Linked DNA regions of Schizosaccharomyces pombe. The gene in region 2 interacts genetically with the main gene of each other region. Each region holds a gene or a part of one and is shown on either strand. Other genes may lie near its edges.

Evidence for each region.
Region 1: mutations in spf1 (region 2) and hrp3 together harm fitness more than expected from each alone (negative genetic interaction), as found in Schizosaccharomyces pombe (2 studies listed by BioGRID).
Region 3: mutations in spf1 (region 2) and rhn1 together harm fitness more than expected from each alone (negative genetic interaction), as found in Schizosaccharomyces pombe (3 studies listed by BioGRID, with this or other methods).
Region 4: mutations in spf1 (region 2) and SPOM_SPAC1952.06C together harm fitness more than expected from each alone (negative genetic interaction), as found in Schizosaccharomyces pombe (2 studies listed by BioGRID).

The regions. Positions count from the first base shown.
Region 1 is NC_003424.3:5,375,020-5,383,754, reverse strand, and holds hrp3 (CHD family chromatin remodeller Hrp3), read right to left. Parts: upstream 5,932-8,735; 5' UTR 5,829-5,931; exon of another isoform or gene 5,340-5,828; intron 5,334-5,339; 5' UTR 5,329-5,333; coding exon 5,137-5,328; intron 5,080-5,136; coding exon 1,105-5,079; 3' UTR 842-1,104; downstream 1-841. Other genes in the region: proteasome receptor/ubiquitin ligase adaptor Dss1, read right to left, coding at 301-443, 484-525, 632-662; U1 snRNP-associated protein Prp40, read right to left, coding at 6,056-8,143.
Region 2 is NC_003421.2:362,647-368,012, reverse strand, and holds spf1 (Set1C PHD finger subunit Spf1), read left to right. Parts: upstream 1-2,530; 5' UTR 2,531-2,534; coding exon 2,535-3,809; 3' UTR 3,810-4,253; downstream 4,254-5,366. Other genes in the region: vsl1 (SNARE protein Vam7), read left to right, coding at 1,024-1,059, 1,096-2,085; SPOM_SPCC594.04C (steroid oxidoreductase superfamily protein), read left to right, coding at 4,280-5,314. UniProt on the Schizosaccharomyces pombe protein: The Set1 complex specifically methylates 'Lys-4' of histone H3.
Region 3 is NC_003423.3:1,033,142-1,037,930, reverse strand, and holds rhn1 (RNA polymerase II transcription termination factor), read right to left. Parts: upstream 2,410-4,789; 5' UTR 2,394-2,409; coding exon 2,246-2,393; exon of another isoform or gene 2,198-2,245; coding exon 2,097-2,197; exon of another isoform or gene 2,029-2,096; coding exon 1,834-2,028; intron 1,787-1,833; coding exon 1,067-1,786; downstream 1-1,066. Other genes in the region: serine/threonine protein kinase Ppk27, read right to left, coding at 1-81, 149-854.
Region 4 is NC_003424.3:4,974,547-4,979,819, forward strand, and holds SPOM_SPAC1952.06C (uncharacterized protein), read right to left. Parts: upstream 3,104-5,273; 5' UTR 2,895-3,103; coding exon 1,200-2,894; 3' UTR 1,084-1,199; downstream 1-1,083. Other genes in the region: SAGA complex histone acetyltransferase catalytic subunit Gcn5, read left to right, coding at 1-934; checkpoint clamp complex protein Rad1, read left to right, coding at 4,073-4,208, 4,335-4,575, 4,619-5,213. UniProt on the Schizosaccharomyces pombe protein: Probable spliceosomal component involved in the activation of pre-mRNA splicing.

The DNA.
Region 1 (8,735 bases), on a different chromosome or scaffold from region 2:
TTTTCTAGCTTATCTTCATTTCGCATATACAGGCAGTACCGTTTCGCCGGTAATTGTTAGAATATAATCAATTCAGGCGTATATAAGTATCATAGACCTAATTTACAGATATGGACAAGTTGAAGTTCTTTAAACGTAAAAATCTTCAACACAAGAATATCTATCTGCACCGTATTTACAGAACCAGCAAAACCTTAGAGTCATGAAAGAACCTGTATTCGATCGTTTTGTTAATGCATTAAAATTATACTGAGGGATGAAGGCAGTTTCGGAGATATACACTCTGGCAGAAGCAATATCTTAATTGGCGGCAACACCCTTCTTTTTTAACTCTGCTTGTAATTGAACAGAAAAATCATCGTCTCCAATGTCCTCATCGTCCCAATTGTTTTCCCATAGCGTATCATCTCCAGTATCAAGCTCTGTATCTTTCATAGGCCAATCTTTTTGATGTTAAATAATTATTTCTTTAAAAGTACTTACTTTCTGTTGCGAAATCTTCAAACTCATCATCATCCTCAAGGTCTAAGCATTATGTTAGTAAACGTCTTTAGGCCAACGAAAAAATCATAGACATTAGCATATCGAATAAATAGTACTCGAAAGCCACTCTAAATAATTTGTAACGTACTTTCTAAGCTTGGTAAGGCCGCACGAGACATTCTAATTTATAAACGTGATTTGGTGTGAAAGGTGAACCCTGCCGTACTGTGATGTTTGAATGAACTTTTCACTGGTAACGATGTCTACTGAGTTACACTATTATATTTACAAACTGCATAAAGTTGCAGACTAATAAATAGCAGTTTGCCATTGATATTTCAATTAAAAACAAATTGTATTACTGGATTATTCTTATCTATGCTGACTCTATGTTCTGAATACCGGAGGATTTCCTAAAGTCAAGATTTGAAATGCAGGGTTTATTAACATTATAATTAAAGGTACAATAAGAAACGATTTTTAGACTAGAATTTAGTGATCTTTGAAATGTAGCAATCAAAATTGAAGACTGTAAAAGATAAACATATTCGAGCTTCAAACCTAAAATATTCCGGATGAAAAATGAAGAAACAAATTGGCTTTTGTATGACAGGCTAAAATCTACTTCATCTTTTCATACATGCTGATCAAGCTGGTATATTTAACCTCCTCCTTCGGCCAAAAGTAACATGCAAACATCCATAAATTCTTCCTAACAGTAGCTTTTTCTTCGGAGGGTGTATCATTGACAGTTTTTTCAATATGCTTTCCAATCGTTGTCAAACACTCAGTAAGTAACTTCACCAACTCCGCGCGTCCAAGCCCACTAGAATCTTTCCGAAGTCTTTTCATATGCTTACGGACTGGATACATCAGTTCTTTGCAGCGTGCCTTTTGTTCAGCATTTAGACTTACATTACCATCGTCTTTTTCAGATTTGACGGGTGAAGCTGTCTGGCTGCGAGACTGTTCCCTACTAGGTGTTTCAATCTTCGTGTCTTTAGAAGAAGGTTTCTTACGAGATTCTGAAATTGCAGGCGATGGTGTCCTAGTTGCACTCTCTATTTTTTGCGCAGATTTAACGTTAGGCTTGCCACTTTGTCTGCGATTAGCCGTCTGCTTCTTAGGTTGAGTTTTTCCATTAGTACTAATAGCGGGGCTTGATTTTATGCCAAAATTTTGGTGATGCTCACGTAAAGCACTAAGTAGGTATTCACCTCGACGAACCAAATGCACAGCTGAAGGTACCTTTTTCTCTTTATTTTCTTTATCTTTGGGGACAGAGTTGTCTGTTTGTTTTGTGTCTTCTAAAAAGATCTTGTCTTTCATTTTGAGTTCTGGATCATCTCGAATTTCTAACCAAGCTCCAAATCCATGCTTACAAATTCCAGAAAGCAACATGGAATCTTCTCGGGGTCCCCACTGACAGGACCAGCCGTGAACAGATCTAACGTGCATTGGAATTTGGAAGTTAGAATATCCTGACGTTGGCATAGCATCATAAAGAATATCAAGATCATTTAGCCTTTGTACCAATGTTTCAGCATTTATATTTTTTACACCTTTAAATGTAATGAGCAGCGCTTTACGAGATGACTTATTATTAGACTGATCATTAGATAAGTCCTTCTCGGCTGCTGATACAGCCTTGCGTGAAGCGGTTACTAAGTCAGCTGCAATCTTTTTTATTACGTGAGCATCTTGCGTAGTAAGATCAGCATATTTAACAATGTCATTGTAGCGATGCTCAAGGCTTCCATATCTAATCATAGCACGATAAAGCAACCGAATTTCCTTTTCCAGTAAAACCTCATCTTTAAGCATTTGCTTTTTGCTCTTCCTTTCAGAAGTTCCAGAGTAGGATGGGGATTCCACCGCAGAGCTAGGATAAGGACGATTACCTCGTCTACTACTAAGCTCAATTTCTTGCTTAAGCGCTTCTTCCTCTTCTCTTAAGCGGTCTTCCTCTTCAAACTTCTCACGTTCAGTTAGGGGTATAATATCATCCCAAGATACATCTGCCTTATAGTCTGTAACTTCGAACTGTTTCAAAAACTCTTCACCACCCATGCTGGCTCCACCCACATCATTGGAAGTATCATGATCTTCGGCATGTTCCAAAATTTCATCTAAATTCATATCCTCAAGCTTCTTTTGATTATTCTCTGCTTTAAACATATTAGAAGCTCCAAATTTCAAAATAGCGCTAAGCTCTTCAGCAGAAAATTTATCATTTTTGGAATTCTTTTGCTTGTCTGTAACACCTAATGAAATAATTGCATATTCAAGAATCATTTTACGACGTGCACGTTCCAAGACATCTTCTTCAATCGTATCTTTGGAAAGAAGCCTGTATACCATAACATGATTTTTCTGACCAATGCGATGCGCACGTGCCATAGCTTGTAAATCAGCTTGAGGGTTCCAATCGGAATCAAAAATAATAACTGTATCAGCAGTCATTAAATTAATACCTAATCCTCCAGCTCGTGTGGATAATAAAAACACAAAATCTGGGCTGTTTGGTGCATTAAAATGATCTATTGAAGTTCTTCGTACAGCAGCAGGGACAGTGCCATCCAGTCTCTGATGTGGATATCCCCTCAAAGAAAGATAATCACCAAGAATGTCAAGCATACGAACCATTTGACTAAAAATTAAAACGCGGTGGCCGTCTCGACGAAGACGTGATAGAAGTTTGTCAAGTAACACCATTTTCCCGCTGTTCATAATTAAACCTTTTAAGACTTCATCTCGTCTTCCTTGAGAGTTTATTTTTTGCATCCATGACTCTTCTACTCCGTCAAATAAGTAAGGATGATTACTTGCCTTTTTCAACTCCACAACTATGTTTAGTAAAGATATTTGACTTCCCGAACTTATGCTTTGAGTAAGGACACGGTAATTGCGAGTTAAAATATTTTTGTACCAGTACATTTGTAAGTCAGAAAGCTCAACACGAAGGATACGTTCAGACTTAGAAGGAAGAGATTTCTCAACGTCTTTCTTTAATCTTCGTAAAATGTAGGGTTGTAAATGCTCCTGTAAACTTCTAATATAAGCTTCCTGCTCCTCATCTGGTGCTTCTAAATTAATTTCCTCACGAATCTCAAACTTTCCTGGCATCAGGAAGTCTACCAAAGCCGCAAGCTCACGAATATTATTTTGTAATGGTGTTCCAGTTATAAGTAATCGATTTGAGTTCTTGAACTGAGAAAGTGCTTCATAAAGTGACGATTCACTGTTTTTTAATCGATGAGCTTCGTCAATTGCCATATATTGCCATTTTATATTACTAAGCACCGAGCGATCTTTGAGTACATACTCATAAGTAGTTAGAAGCAAGTTGAACTTTATTTTCTGAGTTCCATCAACATAAAATTCGTAATCCCTTATTACTTGCCTTGAGGTGGTATTTCCAAGGTAACTTATACAATTCATATCAGAAGCCCAAAGAGCTAATGTCTCTTGCCAGGCAGGAACTGTAGAAAGTGGAACAACTACAAGAAAAGGTCCATGCTGTCTTAAAGAATGTGCAAGATATGAAAGAAAAGCCACAGTTTGGACTGTCTTACCGAGACCCATTTCATCGGCCAAAATCCCATTTTCATTTTTATGCCAAAGATATGCCATCCAGTTGACGCCTGTAAGCTGAAAGTCACGAAGCTCACCACCGGTTATATACGAAGGCTGTTGCTCCAGTTTTCGATACTTAGGACGCGAATTACCATAGTTTGTACCTCTTGATGGACTAAGAGCACTTTCTTCTCTTTCTTGAAATGCCTGAATTTCCGTGGCAGCAATAGGCTCAATAATTGAGGAAGCTTCCCATGTGCAAAAATCATATAACAGCTGCTTCCATTTCACTAAGTATTCAACTGAGCCATCGGAGTTTAAGTGTTTGGCAACAATTCTGTCTACCTGCTTATATTCCTCGTAATTTTCACGCTTTCTCTCTTTTTCAATATCCATTGCTTCAATGTCTTCACGCGTAGTGGTCGGATCTTCTCGAATTTCTCGATCAAGAAGTATGACTTGCTTAATGTGATTGTCGACCTTTTTAGATCCTCTGATCATAGAAATGTTATTGTAAGGTTCCCATGTACAATGAAGATGAGAAAAATTAACCCATTTAATTAAAAACTCATAATCTTCAGAAGGTGTAGAGCCATCGTGTCCTTCAATAAGTCTATGATCTAAAACGACATCTATAGCTCGTGTATCTTCAGGTTCTTCAGAAACTTCAGTTGCGTACTCATACATCTCTTCTTCCTCTTCTTCTTCAAACGATTCAAAATACGCGTCTTCGTTATAGTTAACACCTTTACTATTTCTAGAAGAAAATCGAATTTCATCTTGAACGTAGGTGTTTGATTTTTTTTGCCGAGATCGCTTTTTGGGAGTTCCGCCATAAGAACTATCATCTGACTCACTTTCCTCAGAGGTGACAGATTCAGCTTCATCGTCTAAATCGCGAATTGTTCGATGACGAGAAAAAGATGAACCATTTCTAGTACCTTTACGATGCTTGGATGGGAACACATCTTCTTGATCATCAGTGTCTACATATCTTCCTGGATTACTACGAGTGCGACCCTATAATGATTAGCATCTAAGTAAGTTTCATAATGAATAAAATAATGTGAGACATACAGAACGTCGAAGACCGTAAAGCTCTGGGTCGAGCCATTCAGTAGATTGTAATTTGCGCTTGGAGGCTACGCCGCTATTCGAAGGGGATTCGGACATTTCCTGCTTAAGATTAGGGGTTTCAGTTTGAACGTGATCCAGCTGCTCAATAGCCTTAGATGATGACAAAGCAAGTGCTATAGCACTTGTACTCATATCAACTAAAACAGAAGTTAGAACCAATTTCGCAAATTTCTTATTGCAAAACTTTTCCGAAATTGAAATGCTGAATAATTGTGAAATATGTAATAGGCTTCCATCCAACTTCTAGTTAACTGAGAACTGCCAGATGCCACTTTAAATGTGAATATTTATAACTCTTGACTAACGACTATATTTAGACGAGATCCGAACAGATTTAAATAAAGAACACATATTAACTCCCGTATCTTTTCGATAGGAAGCACTATATCGTTCATTTTCGAAGAAAGAGCAATTTTGAATAAAAGGTCGAATGCCACCAAAAAGATTGTATCACAAGAGAAACAAGCAAAACATAATAAGAAAGAAGGTTTTTAAAAAAAGAGAGCTACATTCAGTGCATTGAACAATGTAGGTTTAACAAAAAAATGCGACACGTGGATCATTCACATATTCAGCGTCAAATTCGGAAAACGAACTGTGGCTGCAACAAAATTTAATAAAAATTTACTTACGCGTTATTAAATAGAACGCTTATAGCAGTATTTTGCTATTTTAATAGCAACTTGCTAGTTTTGTTACAAAAACAATTTTTGAGGTACTGGTGGTAGAGGTTCAAATAGCTACAGGCTGTATCCGCTACTAAAGGTAATCAAACTGTATGAATACAAAAAGCGAGTTGAGAGAACATTAAAATGCATGTGTATTAAACGCACTAACAATTAAATTTCTAACTTGAATACTAACGAATTTCACCTTCTTCACTAGATTCTGCATCATCAACAATATTTTTAACAGCCGGTTGTGTAGCGGTAACATGAGAGATTGAATTTTCCTGTACATCCTGCATCGTATTAATTTCATTCCTATTACTTTTTGACGCTAAGTCAGCAGAATATTCCAACCTTCCATCTTCGTATCCGCTATGTGGTCGGGCACTATTCGCTAAATAACTTTCATCTTTACCGACATCATAATAACCTCTTCTGTTTTGGTATTGCTTTTCCAATTCCCGTTTTTCTCGAAGCCGTCTTATATATTTGTCAAAAGCAGCCATCCTGTGTTCCTCGGAATGGAGCGCAGCAAATTCCGGTAGAATAGAAATTAAAGGTCTAATTTCATCGTAAGAAGCATCGGCAGAAATTGGAGGTTTAAGGTATTTAATGGCACTTCTGAGATTATCAATTTTCCTTCGAATGCGTCGTTCATCAGCACGCTTTTCCTCAGCTTTTTTGTGGATCGCTTTATCACGTAATCGATTAACAACTTCTTCAATAAGGTCTTCAGTTACTGCCTCACTTTCCTCTCGATCTTTAAGCTTTTCTGATAACCTTGCTATAATTTCAGGAATATTAGATGTGTCATCCACAGATATTTGCAATACTTCAAGACAGTCCAAAACCAAATTACGCTTTTCCCGATACATATTCTCCAAATCAACGATCGTATCCCAAAATAAATCTAATGGTGTAGAGCCAGATTGCCCTAGTAAGTTAAGATATCTTGGATCATCCTTGATTATGGGATATAATTCTTTCCACTTCGTGCGTAATGTAATCTTCTTTTGCACGCGTAAGTCTTGTAATAGCGCACGAAAGGCATCACGATTTTTCCTTTCTATACGATGCTTTTCTTTCTTCTGCTTTTGTTTGTCAAGAATATATTCGCGTTCCAAATGCTTAACATGATCTTCAAATGCTACAAGAGCATCTAATTTAGAAAGATATTTCATATTTGAATTCCTTGTATACCTTGGATCTTGATCAAATTTTGCTTGCGCAACGCTCCAGCGGGTGTAAGGCTCGAAATTCATGTTTCGCAAAAGCGAACAAAAATCATCCAATGCTTCCTTTCTGCGATCCTTTTCCAACTGCTTTTCATCCTCTAAAAGCTTTTGCTTATATTCAAAAAATAGTTGTTGTTGTTCAGTTTCAGAAGAAGTAGCGTTAAAAGCAGGATGAGAAGAAAATTCATTCTTCACAGTACGCCACAAAGTATAAGAATGAATTTTATCACTACTTTTTAGCATCTCAATAAACTCCTTCCTAATCTTAGTTACTCGGTTCTTTTCTGCATCACTTTGATCGGTCAAATAGTTTAAGATGTACGCATCGAAAGCACATTTCCGATGCCAAGGATCCTTCATGACATAATAGCCCTTAGCATCACAAAGCTCTCGGACAGTCTGCTCCCAAGTCCAGCTTGGGTTGACATTATGAGAGTCTAAAAATTTAAAGAAAGCGCGCTCTGCGGCTTCATAGGTATCATAGTTTTCGTGCTGATAATCATTAGAACGTTTTTGGCGCTTATCCTTTTGTTGAACAAAGTTTATAGTTCGTTTATGACTGCCTTGTGAAATTTGTTGGCTTTGATCTTTAGCTGGTTGACTTGAAGGAGCAGCAACATCCGGACCATGCCGTTGAATGCTTTGAACAGCTGGCTTGTTGTCATTGCTTTTGATTTTAGACGACAAAGCCTTTTTTTGCTGTTCCGGTTCATCAACAAGGGCAGCTTTATATTCATCAGGAATATCCCACACTGATTCACGGGTATTGACATTATACCAATACTTTTTGCCATCAGCGGTGGCATATTCTTTCCAAGCTAGTTTCGAAAGCTTTTTTTCAAAGTCATTCATTAACTCCTCTGGTTTTTCCCAAACACTTTTGCGCGTTACTGAGTTGTAGTAATAAACTCGAGAATCTTCTGTCTTCACTTCATGCCAGTCAGAGGCCACAGTCTTGGAAGGAGCTGCTGACGGCCCTTCCTGATTAGACGTGAATCCCTCAGTTTCATCGTACTCTGAAGTTTGCCATGGAGGTGCAGACATCTTCACATTTATGAATAACTCCCCTTAAAATTGGGGTTGTGGTTTAAGCCAGCGTGTAGAGTTACACTCACTGTTCACTACAAACGGGTGTGGTGGTCGAGTCTATATGTGGGGGACTCGTTGTTTCACTGTATTATCAACTACGTAATATCTAATTGATAATAGAGATACGTTAGACTGTGGTCAGTTTAGAATACATTTACTATATTGTTGTAAACAGGTCTTGAGAATAACAGACTTCAAAGTGAGTTAATTTACAAGCGATGCTATAGCCGTTGCTAAACAACTTATGACTGAGTTGAAATATGGAGTGAGTTAAGCTGTATCAAGAGAAATTAAACTAATTTTATACAAGAAGTAGAAAAAGCTATATTGACATCGTACTTATATTAGGGGGTATTCAAAAAAATGAATGTTTTTAGTGACGTTTAACGTAAATTCTGCAAGACTTAAAGATTTAAACAGAGCGTGTTATTCACAGTTAAAGTATTTGTTGTTAAAAGTCAGTAAAATACTTAGGGCATCGCATGGCGAGTTATAAGGGTGCATACGGGCACAGGTAAGAAGGCATAGGATAAAAGAACACGACGTT
Region 2 (5,366 bases):
AGGTAACGTCAAACTTTTTTCATCAGGTTAATGCCCTTTTTCTTCTCTTTTTCATTTTTCGTTTTCACGGTGGAATTTATTTCTGATGAAGGAGGCAGATTTCTTCTTTCTGAGTTGAACATCATGTGTGGAACTGACTATGAATATATGTAATTTAATGACTGTGGTTTCAAATTGATTCCGAACTCTTTTAAAAGATATCCATTGTGGGATGTTTCGTCCTTTATTCTCATCTATTAGGGTCGCATAGTTTGAATTGGATGATCGTTCAAAAGCAGTATATGGTTATACTTTAAGCAAATGTGAGAAGTCTTTTCGCTGTATATTTTTCCCTCTCGTGATATGAAAAAACAGTTGTTAAGTTCCACTAGTACTATTATATATCATCTGTGGGGCCTTTATATTTACATGACATGTATTTTAAGTGAAAAATCTTTATGCATATCAGAGTACTGTTGTTATTTGGAATCTACCTATACTTACACTTTTGCATAATGTTACGATCTGGCGTTTATTCTGTGCTTTTAATACTTTAGGCAAGTCGCGCTTGCAACCAATCCATGTAGGAAAATATAGAAAATAAACAATTTCTGTTTATTACTAAGCTTCGTTAAGATTTTGCCGTTCTTCTGTTTAGGTATTGTAATTACTTGTAAGTTGCACCGTTCACGAGTGCCAAAAAAAATACTCAATAATCTGACTATAAAGTGTTTAAAGGTATAAGATAATATACTAACCTAATTCATTATTTTAATTTCTAAATCTATTGCAAACTGGTAAACTTTCTTTCAATACCTGCCAATTCGATAATCGTAAAGGCATCTCGCGCATCAAGGAAAACATGAGGTTTAAAGGATCTAAAGCATCATGAAACTGAAATTTATCTTTATTCAACTAATAGAACCTATACTATTTGAAAGCTCAAATTCTACATTATACAGTTTTATAACGATAGTGCAGTAAATCCGATACAGTAGTCTGTTGTTCATGAACTCATTGTTGATCAACCTGTTCATAGCAAGTATGGCGCTAAAAATTAAAATACCAGAAACGTCTCAAGTAAGCTTTATTCCTTTAATTTTTACTTACAACTAGTCTTCTGATGAATATTCACGATGGACGGTTTACCATATTGAAGTAGCATTTCCGAATGGTGGGAAACATGTTGTATTTCGTCGGTTCAATGAATTCGTTGCTTTGGATGCTCAAATTCGGCCAAATGACTACAACAGTAGACTTTGCAAACTCCCCTCTAAATCTTGGGTTTCTTCAACTGTGACAAATGAAAAGTTACGTGAATCTCGACGACTTGCTTTACAAGCTTACGTTCAATGCCTTTCAGAAACGCCATGGATAAAAATGCCTGTGGTTAAAAAATTTCTAAATATTAAAGATGAATCGGAAGATGAAACACAGGGTCAGTTTTTGGGTCCGACAGATTGGATTCAAGTATTTCAAGATTGTAAACGTAATTTACATATGTACCGAGTTGACTTAATGAGTGGAAAAAGCATTACGATAGGAGTTCAAACAAAGAATGTCTATGCAATAAAGTCGCTAATGGATAACCTTTCAGAATCGTTAGACAAATTAGAATTAGCAAATGCTCTTGGTCCAGGAGAAATCCTTCGACGAAAAGATATGTTAGAACAGCTTGGTTCTGAATTCTTGTCATTTAAACGGTTAGTTAAAAATGCAAACAGCCCAGTCGCTCCTCCTTCTGCCTCATCTCAATTAAACTCTTCTAATCCTAGTTCTCCCTTTCGCCCATTATCTGCATCTACTGACAAACAATCTAATACCTCTTTGAACAGAGTCCTTGGAAAAAACAGAATGCCAGAGACACAGACAACAAAAAAGCTTGATAATGTAGGACTGTACAACATGCAGAATCAAACTATGGAAGATCAAGATATGCAAGCAGAATCGTTATTGCCTATTATTCAAAGGCAGAAGGAGCTTTCGAAAATGATTAATCAAGAAGTTGTCGAGCAAAACTCCATGTTAGACGAGCTTTCTAATGAAGCATATGCAAACCAAAAAAAGCTACACAGAACACGAGCTGGCCTTCGCAAATTGGGTTAATATTTGGGTGTTTATGAGTATTTGATTTAATTTCACGAAATTTAATGGAATCTTCTTTTGCAGTTTTGTCTTGTTTTCTATCCAATTCTGCTACATTAGTGATTGTCTTGGATGAGATTATCTGGGCTAAAAATATTTATTATTTGGTGTATTTGCGTTCTTTCCTTTTTTTTTTTTTTTGTTTAATCTTCTTGAAGATACCGCAGTAACCTCTGTGAGTTATATAGGCATGGTTAGTTCGTCCGTCAAGGTTGAAATAATTGTCTCCTTTAATTAAGCTTGATATTAATATACGACTTGTTTAAATTTCAACTTGTTTTGACAGACCCCATTTCTTTTGTATTTTGGTTTGGCTTGTAGTTCCTTTTAATGCATTTAGTGTACTGTGCTTAAGCTCGCTTTCTTTAGATTTTACTTATTGACAGACTTAGACAACTGAAATTCCAATAATGGAATTAACGCAAGAGAATACTGAGGAAAATGAAAAAACTCATGTAGAATCAATTGTAAAATTTGAGGATTCGAATAGAGGCACCATTACTGATTTTCATATCGAGACAGCTAACAATGAGGAAGAGAAAGACGCCAACGTAATTCTCAATAAATCTGTTAAAATGGAGGTTGAAGAAGTCAACGGTCACGTTGATTCTTCCTCAACGGAAACAGACATAGAAATGCAAGTCATTCAACAGCCTACAATACCCAAAAAACCACCCGTATCAGCTCATAGAAGGGGTCCACGAAAACACCGAGGAAATGCGAATAGCCAACTCAATCTGTCTACAGCCGATCATCAAAGACCATTGTATTGTATATGCCAAAAGCCTGATGATGGATCATGGATGTTAGGATGTGATGGTTGCGAAGATTGGTTTCATGGCACTTGCGTTAATATACCTGAATCTTATAATGATTTAACTGTACAGTACTTTTGTCCTAAATGCACAGAAGAAGGAAAGGGTATAACTACTTGGAAAAGAAAATGCCGGTTACGAGAATGCTCGAATCCCACAAGACCTAATTCCAACTATTGTAGTGATAAACATGGAGTCGATTTTTTTCGAGAAAAAGTAAAGCTGAGTACGGTTGAACCTTCTGCTATAAAAAATCTTGTATTGTTTGCAAAAAAAAGGGAAGAATTTCAAAATTTGGGTACGGTGGGACCGACATTGCCAAGCCAAGTTCCTCCTGAAGTTGTGTACAATTTTGAAATTGAGGAGGCCAATAGGCTGAACGCAGAAATTGTGCAATTAAATAAAGAGAAAGAAGTAGCATCTAACAAAAAAATATTTCTTCAGTTGATCAAAGATTCTTCGCGGAGAGCGGTTCTTGCTTACAAAGAAAGAGAAGGTATTAAGAAAGATCTGTGTGGATTCGATTCTCGACTTTTATTCAATCAACAACAAATGAATGAATTGTGGGAAAAAGTTTCAAATGGAGCACCGCTATCTCTTGACATGAGTATAGATCCTTCTCCTGAGTCCACCTGCTTTACAGAGAAGCGAAGATGTGCAAAGCACACAAGCTGGCAGGTAATTTTTACCGAAGATTTTGAGTTGCAAGAAAGTAATATTTTACAAAAACTAAACATGAAGCAAACTGCCAAAGATGTAATGTTGGAGCATCAAAAACAGAGGTGCCTACCCGGGATACAATACGACGGTTATGCTCGATTTTGTCATGAACAGTTATCTCCCGAAAAAATGGCTAATTTATTAAAATAAACAGAAGGATGCATCTTTTGGTTTAATTTACAATTTTGAAGTTTGCTTTAATTTCTAGATCATTTCATGTAAATCACGAGGCATTGATTCGCAAATGTTAATGAAAGAAAAGTTTATATTGCTTGGCATTTGTCTCTTAATTTTGGCTTTAAATTTATTGACTCCCTGTTTCGCAAAATAATGTTGACAGATGGTAATTTGGTTTTTCCTTCTAAAAAGTCACTTTTTAACATAAGGACATACATTCTACACCCTCTCTTTTTATCAACTCATGTCTTAATGGCCTTGAGGTTTTCTCTCTCTTTTGTTTTGAAATTTATTTTATTTTATTTTTTGGAAAACGCAGGCTCCTTGGATTTCACTAATCCTTCTTATTCCAGAAGCTAACGTCACAATGAGACAGAGGATTTCGTGGAGCTATAGAAAGCCAACTTTCTGACATTCCCATTGTTCTTTTTCAAACGAGCACTATGACTTTGGCATCCACCATGCCAATTATTTATTCGGCATCTGATGCCGCAAAATGGAAAGTTGCAGTATCTCCTTACCTGTATCAACTGAGCAATTTGAAGTTACTGTTTACTGGAAAGTTGAATTTTGCAGATTTTTATTATAATACGAATCCATTTGTTGTAGGACTACTTCTCTCATTTATTTTGGGAAATGTGCTTTGGGGAGTGTCTGTTTGGACGAAAAATACATCGCAAGTGGATCGGCTATGGCCAATTCTGCCAACGGCTTTTTCCTTGCATTTTCTGTTTTATGGTTTGGGATACAACATTGCTTCGCGAAGATTAATGATTATGGCATTTTTGCAGACTCTATGGTCCGCGCGTCTTACTTACAATTATTACCGTAAAGGAGGTTATAATCGAGGAGCAGAGGACTATCGTTGGGTGAGAGTTCGCCAAATCATGCCTAAATGGATATATCCATTATTCCACTATTTTTACATTCATATCTTTCAAGTGCTCCACCTATATTTGCTTGCATCTCCCACGTATATTGCCATGTTGGCTGGAAACGAACGAGCATTTGGAGCATGGGATTGGATAGCACTCGAGCTTTTCATGTTTATGTTTGTGCTAGAAATGCTAGCCGACCAACAGCAATGGGATTACTATGAAGCGCGAAATCATTACAATGTCGACAAAACCGTGCCACCTCGGTTTAAGTATGACTTGTTGTCGCTTGGACGTGGTTTCAATGCTACAGGGCTCTTCCGATGGAGTCGCCATCCCAACTTTTTAGCAGAACAACTTATTTGGCTTTCATTTTATCTATTTGGAGCGATCGCTTCAGAATCACTATTGAATTGGACGATTTTTGCATGGCTTGGACTAGTGGGCGTTTTTCAAGGCTCGACCAGACTTACCGAAAAGATGTCCTGTGAAAAATATCCGTTATATCGAGTGTATCAAGATAAAGTCGGCCGCTTTTTTCCTCGATTAGATGGTAGTCATTGGGATATTGTGGATGACGATGCATCATTAAAGGAGGATTAATGGAGAAACAAAATGTTCCTCTATTAGTGATCCATGGATCTCGTTTCATTTT
Region 3 (4,789 bases), on a different chromosome or scaffold from region 2:
AAATCTGAATTAAAGCATTTGGGTAGTTCTTCCAATTATCAATCGTCTTTATAACATTATAAGGTTGGGTAAGCAATATATCTAAAGACAAAGTGTTAGTTTAAAATCATAACTGTAAAAGTTGAAAATCCTTATTCATCGAGCTTACTTTCAAGTTTTAAATCTCTATGAATCAAACATTTGGAATGAAGGTAAGCAACTGTATGTACTAACTCAGAAAAAATTCGCCCAACAAATTCAAGGCTGAAATCCGAATGATGTTTTTTAGTGTAATGATAGAGATCTCCTCCCATACAATAATTCTCTACGAGTATTAATTCGGCGGAGGAAACGTAGTAATTTAATAGCTGCACAACACATGGATGCGACAAAGTTTTGAGGGCCCAAATTTCTTGCCGAAATACTTTTACTCTAGCTTTTTTTTCGTTTTGAGACTTGGATGATAAGTGAGTATGTTTTAGGACGATGGAAGTATCAAACTTCTTATTATTAGATTTGACAAGCAGTACTTCCCTTTGTTCCGTAGAGGTGATTTTAGTATTTATAGACCACAAATATTTCTCATTCTCGTCTGAATATAAAGCATATCCTCTACTTCTGCCTAATTGAAGAGAATACAATGATTTTTTTTGTATATTAGTTAAGCCAAAAATTAAATCGGAAAAAGTCTCTAAATCTCTATTAAATGGAGCATAGTTAGAAATTTCTAGTTTAGTTAAATCGTTCGTCAATGATTCAGATATATCAGTCTCAGACGGAAGAGCTGAAATATTCGGATTTACATGACGAATTTTATTTGAAAGAGGATATAGTTGCAGCGATTTTTCTTCGCAAGAATGTTTTTTTTCAGACATTAAAAGCCCATTCTTCCTAGATAGGGCTCAACTTTCTTCGAAATATACAAAATTCCAAAAACGGCTTCGATAGGATGAAGTCAGGTACTGACGCATATAAAAGGTTAGGATAGGTATTCTAAAAATGCTTATTGACTAAGACTGCCACATTGATTGACAGTTTAAAAAAAAAAAGAAAAATAATGAAAACTAAGCATTACATTTCATGGATTTCAGCTATCACCATATAGACCAGCTGCACTAGAGTCGTCCGAAGAGGGAGAACTATCTTTTCCATAGATATCTGAGTCTTCTGGTAATTCTTTAGATTCCTCTTCATTTTCTTCTTTTCTCTGGCTTTTAAATAATGATGTTTCTTCTTCTTCTTGGGAATAGGGTCCACTGGCAGGAGGAGGAAGAGGAGAGAGATTGTCTTCAGATGGATTTTCGACAATATTGGAAGTATATGGTACGCTGTTAATGCTTGGAGAGTAAGAATCTACTTGAGGAGAATAAGCATCATCACTGTTTGGAGAACTAGACGGAGGTGATGTTGTTTCTACATTATGTTTGCCAGCAGTAGAACTTTTATCTCCAAAACCTGCATCGGTCAAGGTAGAGGTAGCTGTTGTACTTTCCTTATTCTCTAAATTAGAAATTATGGATTCAACAGATTTTAGGCTCTCTTCTTCCTCTGAAAGTAGCTTTTTTTGTTCTTCTATAAGCGATTCCAAGGAAGTAATGAGTGTGGATCGGGATTCGATGCAAGCCTGATAATTACCTTTACATGATTCAGAGGCTTTATTTAGTTGCTTTTTATAATTATCGAGTAGTTCAGAATAATCTGATTGTTTCTCCAAGTATGATTTATACAATGCATCTACCACAGTTTTGGTAGAGTGAGCAGATTTTGCGTATAAACTAGTTTGTGTCATTAAACGAGTGTAAGGTGCCTATGCAATTAGTAAAGTTCTGATATTTTATTTGAATTGCGGCATACCCATTCCGGAGGGCCAACGGGGTAATAGTTAGAATGGCCACTGTTCTCGGCATTATTAAACCTTTCCTGCAAGGATAAAAGTATCTCCTTAGAAAATATGCCGCGTTGACACCAAACGTCAAAAACGTATTTGATTTTTGTTTTAATGGAAGCAGGAACTGACGCGTACGCGTCAGCTACAGAGTTTACGACATACTATGCAAATATTATTAGAATCTAAACCATATAGGAGATGTTCCAAGCTCATAATGATAGTAACTTACTGGAGAAACGGCATCAATATATTCAGATATTTTTTTGACCCGGGATTGTTGAACGACTTCGTTGAGCAGGTAAAGCAATAAAAGCTTTTTGTTGGAAGAAGCTGGTTAAATTAGTTAGACAATCGAACAAATTCCTAAAGGAGTCATACATTCATACAAAGCTTCCAGCCATATTTGGACAATTTCATCAGCATAACGCTTGTGAAACATAACCCAATGCGCTATTCCCGTTATACTTTCTTGTGTTTCATTTAGAGTAGCCAACTTTGAAGAAACAGTGTCTGGAGTCAAAGCCATCTTGTTTTATGCTGATGGTGAGTTTCTTACGACACACTGCTGTTAGCATCGCAAACGAAATCATAAGCATAAGTAATAAATACTTCTTGTATAATATCAATGTTTTACATTATAGCCTATACTTAAAATGATTTTGAAACAACAGATTAATTAGTTTGGGTAGAGCAAAAATCTTCGTCTCATTTGTAAAGATGGAAAAGAACATTTATTATTCTCAAACTACCCAGTTTTCTCCAAGATTCCCTCTTAAATATTAGGTATATAAAATACATTATTCGTTTTCTCATGATTTTGTTTAGTCTCAGCAGGTCATCTTAGCTAACGGCTATCACTCACTGTAACATTTACAGTACGAGTTTTGGTAAGAATGCTAGACGAAATCTTGTGATGTTATATGTTGGGGATTATGAAAAGAAACTATTCGGCGTGTTGAGAAATGTGTACGGAGTGCAAATGTGTGTTTTAATGACTTGTCTGAAGCAGGAATTACTATATACTACTCACCGCATTGAGACTTTGTTTTTGCTTCCCTTGTATTACTATAAACTATGGCATATACTTACGTAAAAAATTATATAATAAACTAATTGTTCGTTTGAAATCGTATTTATTTGTCAACCGGGCAGGCAAAGCAGTAAAGATGTTCTGAAATTGAACGATAATACGAGTTTCAAAAAAAATAAAAAAATAAATGAATAAAGTAAAATAAATTAACTCCTAAGAACAAAGTTAAAACGGGATGACTAGTAGTAAGCAAAATTGTAAATAAAAAGTGCCGTAAGAATGTCAACGTATAAAACTAATGTTCATTTTCTGCCAATGATAGTCATTTCACCTTTCATAGTAGTTATTTCAACTTAATGGATGCAATCTCATTCTGCGTAGCGTCAAACTCAGAATTCATGTCGTTTCGCCAACACTCTATACCAGAAATATATCATTGAAGGACTTTTCAAGTCTTGTATTTGCTCATTCATCTATTCAACAATATAACCCATATATTAGAATACCAATCTCAATTGCTACTTATATATTACTTGCGAATTACAATATAATAGATCACTAGGAAAACACCGTAGTTCTACGTATCGTTAAATTAAATACTTGCGTAGCTAACATTATATCCTCTTAACGCATTTGTTGTAGCTATGGGTTATATTATTTACAATTAATAGCTTGAATGAGTAATATACCTTTTCTTTAAATATTTCGTGATTATTTAGAGCTGTTGAGAATCCCTTAAGAGGAATACAATAAAGCAGGATAAAGAAATGTTTTTCTATTAACTTTGTTATGCATGTTTGCAATCGAAGTTTGTTTTTAAACAAATACTCCTCTATTCAATAAATCTAACTTTGTAATAAGTTACCTGCAAATAAGCCATTTTTCTTTTATTTTACAGATAAAGCCCATTTTCATTATCTGTATCACGTACTCCCAGTGTGAAGTTACTTAGGTTACCTTGTTTCTTAATCCATCAAAAACTCTTTTCTTTGTCCTTAGCATTCTTTGTTTAAAGTTGTATATAAGGGGAACTTGAGAGATTTGAATTTACTTACAACACATATATTAAATATTGCTTTCAACACACGTTTGTACTTTTATTTTCCAAGATTTCCCTTTCTGAGAAATATTTGTCAATTAGTAAACATATAAGGCAGGCTACAAAAGATATCATTTGTATAGTTATAGTGAATTGAAATTTTATCGTTAAAAAGAATACTGCGGTTTATTGCAACTGGTTTTGTATAAATAATAAGGATGATGTCGAACGAGAATTTTGATAATGACTACAATCTGCCACCACCAAATGATTCTGCGGAAGATTTAAAAATTTTCATTGAAAGATACGAGAGATCTGTAGATTCTACATTGTTAGAAATTGACGAAAACAAAAGAGAAGCACTTGAAAAAAATATATTGAGGAATGAGATCGTAAAATGAAATATGAAATTGAATGCAATGAAAGGCTACAAGGATGGAAAAAGTTAGCGATTGAAAGGGAAATTTCTGAAGAACAATCGGGAGAAGTACAATTTCCACGCTGGATAGATGAATGGGCAAACACTAAACTAGGTGGAATTTTCGAACGAATATTTTCTAAAATGGACTCAATGCAAAATGACATGAATTCTCGGTTTGACGCTATGCAGAATGAGATGACATCTATGAAAGGCGAAATGGCCGAAATGAAAGTTGAAATGGTTGAAATGAAAAGGGAAACGATCCGTTTGAACACTAGAATTGATTTACTCGAACAAAAAACTGAAGCAAGGTTTCAGTCAATAGAGCAGCGATTTAATTCTATTGACCAACGATTTGACTCTATGGAGCAGCGACTTGACTCAATGGATCAGAAAATGGAAACAATTGATGCTCGCTCATGTAGGTCGATC
Region 4 (5,273 bases), on a different chromosome or scaffold from region 2:
ACAACTTCCTAAAATGCCAAAAGAATACATTACGCGGCTAATTTATGATCGAAACCATCTTTCAATGACCATTGTCAAAGATAATTTACATGTAGTGGGCGGTATTACTTATCGTCCATTTGAACAACGAGGATTTGCCGAAATTGTATTTTGTGCGATTGCTTCCAATGAACAGGTTCGTGGTTATGGTTCTCATTTAATGAATCATTTAAAGGATTATGTCCGTGGAACTACTACAATTCAGCACTTCTTGACATATGCAGATAACTATGCAATCGGGTATTTTAAAAAACAAGGATTTACTAAGGAAATTACTCTTGACAAGTCTATATGGGTTGGCTATATTAAGGATTACGAAGGTGGCACACTTATGCAATGCACCATGATTCCAAAAATAAAGTATTTAGAAGCTAATCTGATTTTGGCTATTCAGAAAGCTGCTGTTGTTTCCAAAATTAACAGGATCACTCGGTCGAACGTTGTTTATCCTGGTTTAGACGTATTCAAAGATGGTCCAGCTCATATAGAGCCGTCTCAAGTTCCTGGGTTGATGGAAGTTGGATGGTGCAAGGAAATGGAAGAGCTCTCCAAAAAGCCCAGACCTAAACCTTTTTTTGCCGTTTTGGAAATGCTTTTTACAGAAATGCAAAATCATCCGTCTTCCTGGCCCTTTATGCAACCGGTTAGTAAAGAGGATGTACCCGATTATTACGAAGTTATTGAACACCCCATGGACCTTTCGACTATGGAATTTCGGTTGCGTAACAACCAGTATGAGTCTGTAGAGGAATTTATTCGGGATGCAAAATATATATTTGATAATTGCCGTTCTTACAATGACTCCAACACGACTTACTATAAAAATGCCGATAGATTGGAAAAGTTTTTCCAGAAAAAACTTCGTGAAACTGAGTATTCACACTTAGCCGATTAATCATTTACATTTATTATCATCGAAACGTCTATTCCGAAGTTTTATTGATTATAACATATACATTTCACCTTTTAATTTTTTACACGAATATCTTTTGTGCCTTCCAAATATGCTGGCATATCAAGAACTGCTAGTGTTTAATTTTTAGTTTTTTTGTTTAAAAATATATATAATTCTATAATACCAAACACTCTTTATGTTCCATAATAACAAATGTACAACTCATTAAATTGAAAATATGTTATCAGAACAAGTCATGATTTTATTACACAGATGCTTGCATAGATCCAAGTAAAACAGTAACCATAGGTTTTTCGTCAATTCTGTAGTAAGAGTCGTTGGCCTCCACCTCTTCGGACTCCACCGTCGGTTCTTCAAGGTTTTCATGATAATTTTTTAGAGCATCAGTCAACTCATCAATTGGAATGGATGCTTCGGAAAACAGCATCTTAATTTTTTTCAATGTCACTGTATTTTCAACGCATAACCACGAAAGGATAAGAACTGTAGATTGGAAAGGAAACAGTCCATGATCAATTTGTTGGAGAAACCATTTGGTACTCTTTTCCTCCGAATCAGGACTAAAATCAAGTTTTCTGCTTTGGTCAATACCTTTGAGTTGGATTCTCAAGCGATCGTAAATTTTGAAAAGGCGTTTCATTTTTTCAAAGTCATTTTCAATGAATTTCCGTAAAAAGCGCACCCTTTCTACGGTGTCAGCAGGTAAAGATCGAAATAAAGATGCCAGAATAGCTAATATATGTTCCAGAGTATCGGCTGCAGATATTTTCATAAACGCAGCAAAAATATATTTCAAACCGCCTGCTTCTACAAATCGAATACAATAAGGAGTGGAAAGAGGCCCAAATAAAAGATAGTCCAAAACTTTGATTGTAGAATAACGGCTTTTTCCTTTATGTTTCATATTTAGTATGCATAATTCAATACCTTCCTCTTTTAGAAAAAGGGATTTTCCTTTCGTTTCTTGAACCAGACTACATAAGCAATCAAACACGTTTTCCATCATTTCTTCTTCTGATCCTTGGGTTGGATCACGAAGCCTATAAGGACTGATCCGGCGCAACAAAAGATCAATCCCATTCAAGTTGCACACTTTCAATTTAGCTTCTTTTGAATTAGCGAGAATGATAGCTAAAATTTCAACAGCGTACTGCAAATTAGTTGATATAGAAGTTTCATCAACAGACGATCTACTCAGTAACCATTCTACCAATGTTGTGTTTTCAACTATTATTGAACAAATGCTATTGTCCACAGATAATAAATTCTCCATAAGAGAGAGCACACAATATACTCCATGTCGGTCTTCCTCATTAGATTCGTCAAACCTTTTGATTGTATTTGAAAGCAAAGGAAGCAAACCAGAATCTATAAGGGAAGTAAATAAGGAGTTTAATGCGTCTGGGTCAACATCCTCGTCAGTCAGTTCTATCAATAGCTCCAATACCGTAATAGTAATATCCGCATTTTCATGGTTCATTAATTCTAAAAACGTGGAAACACAATCTAATTTAAGGAAAATGGGTATGAGGATAGGATACTCTGAAAGCACATTGAAGCTTCGAATTTCCAGATCAAGATCTGCCTCTGATTCTATAAACCTTTGAGGAGAAGTAGAATACTTGATGCGTAACTCCTGATTATTATTAATTGTTTTTTCAAGTCGTACTACCATGCGCTTCAATTCAGTAGGAGTCAATGAAGCAGGTTCTTCCTGGGCTTCCTGTTCGTCTAAAAAGTCTAAAACGGTTTTTTCACTCTTTTTAAGCCCACTTCCAAAAAATCTACCTCCTTCCTCGTCAAATTCTTCATTCTCCTCATCGCTATTCTCTTCAGCGAGTCTTCTGCGACTACTAGCTGGCTCCAAAGAGTCTGCTTCCTCAGGGTTCCTTTTCTTATTTGTTTCCTCGGTATTTTTAAAAATTGAATCTACATCCATTTAGAATAATGTATTTTTTATGCGCCAGTTTCCTTTTCAAATTGAATATATGAAAACCGTCTGATACAAAATAAATAATTTTGACAAACTTATATTTTATAGCCGCATCAAGTAAAATAAAAGCCTTATGAAAAGACTATCGTGCAATTCAATTATAACGCCTGACTCGTTCCTAAAATTCCTCTCGTTTACCAGTTCAAGTAAAAGCTAGGTAAGATGTAGGCATGTACAAAGTGTATCAAAAGTGAAAACCAGAATCTAAGCTTGGAAAAAAATAATAACAGCAAGTAAATTCCCCTCTGTTTTATAAATATTATACAACTCTTATATCCAAGAAAGGAGAGATTGGAAGAAGGATAAAAAGTGTTTATTTAAGAGAAGAGAAGCTAAATAAAGTGCATGCAGTTAACTCGAAATTTTTTAGGTTGATTAAATAAGGAAGAAATTAGATCCATCTTGTATTACCTTTCTTTTAATTGTAGCAATGACTTTTCAAAAGAGGGTGTAAAAATGACATCCTAACTGTATATATGATAAAATTACAATTATGGATTTTCTAAAGCAATTTAAATTTAGCTATTATCACTAAAACAGTTCGGCAATTTGCAATATTTGTCTAATAAATGAACCATTTGTTTCATAAACAATCAAATTCATTAAGCTACAAATCCTTAATTGTATCTTTAGTTTTGAGTCAATCAACTTACTGGGATCCTATAGCTTTTTTGAATATCATTTGGTAAATTCAAATATGGCTCTTAAAACTTGTATTTAATTTGATAAAATTTCTGTGTCGAGAGATAAATAAATAAAGACAGTTAGAAGTAGATGCTATTCAATTAATAAATAAAATACTCGTCTATTAAGCTTTACGGCTTTCCAAAAATTTATATATCAGAATAAAATATTTCACAATTTTTTTTTTTTTAAAAAAGAAAAAGCAATCTCAATTTTCATTTCCTTTAGTAATCTGCATACCTTTTAAAATTGTGCACCTTTTCGAATTTTACTAAATAACTTCTAACTTGAACTGTCTTTCTTATTCTGCGTTTGGTCTTGTAATCAAGTGTCAAGTCCTTTAATATCAGAAGGAAAAATTATCAATTTATAAGATTAGCATTTACGGGTGTTCAAGTTGTAGCATATAACCAATTTTTTATTGTTGGACGTAAATTCGCATGTTTCAAGCAGAAACAGTATGCTTAAAGCAGATTCAGTCAACATTACGATGCATTGATTTTTCAAAGGAATGTACTATCGAAATCACAAGTCGTGGACTACGGTTTGCAGTGGAGGAATCGCAGTCTTTGCAGGGTAAGACAAGTCGAGTCTCACATCTATGATCGTTAAAAAATTTGAAGCTACTTAATAAAGTTTCATATATTAATGCGATTCTTGAAATGCATTCACTTTTTCTTTATTGTTCACTCACACATTAAGCTCACGCCTTTCTTGATAAGTCGTTGTTTCAAACGTTTAATTTTCAGGGTGATTCAGATGGGGATACATATATGTTCCAGACGATGATTTCACCTCTTTTACAATCATTATCAATTTATACAGATGGAAAAGAACGGATTTCAACTAGTGCCTGGGATCAACCCACTGTAAACATAATGCACAAACGAGGCGTTATCTGCAAAGTACAGTATAATGGACCCGGCTGTCCATTTATATGGGAGTAAGGATTTTATCATTAACATTCTGTACTGACAAAAATAAAGAGTAGAGGAAATGGCTGGTTATGCTACGGCTTGTGAACTGTTGACTATGGAATGTGAGGACGACGTTGACATCAATAGACTTGCAAGCACATTGTGCACGAAGATCATTATGAAAAGTAACTGGCTATATGATGCCTTGGTGGAATTAGACAATAACATGGGCGAAAATTTAATTATTCATACATCATCCCAAAAATCAACCTTCTTATTGAGATGTGTAGGGGCATTATCCACTACGGAAATAGAATATCCAAACGAGAAAAGTGTTTTAGAGTCTTTTGAAACTGATTCTGAAAACACTTATTCCTACCGCTTCTCATTAATAAGACATGCGCTGAAAGCATTACAAGTGGGTTCTAAAGTAAACCTACGTATTGATGAAAATGGAACTTTGAGCATTCAAATCATGCTTGTCGGTCAAGAAGGGCTTTGTACGTTTGTAGACTTTTGTATTGTTCCTTTGGACCTTGTAAGTGAAGATGAGGAGGAGGATGAAGAAGAAGAACCAGCAGAATCTAATCAGTCGGACAATAACGTTTTACGAAACGATCCGAATTATCGAGGAGATGCGGAGACCGAGGATGAGGATAGCTAAATGATAATTTTAGCACTCAGCACTTTAGTGTTTCCGATAACTTCAAAAAAAGAAAAAGGT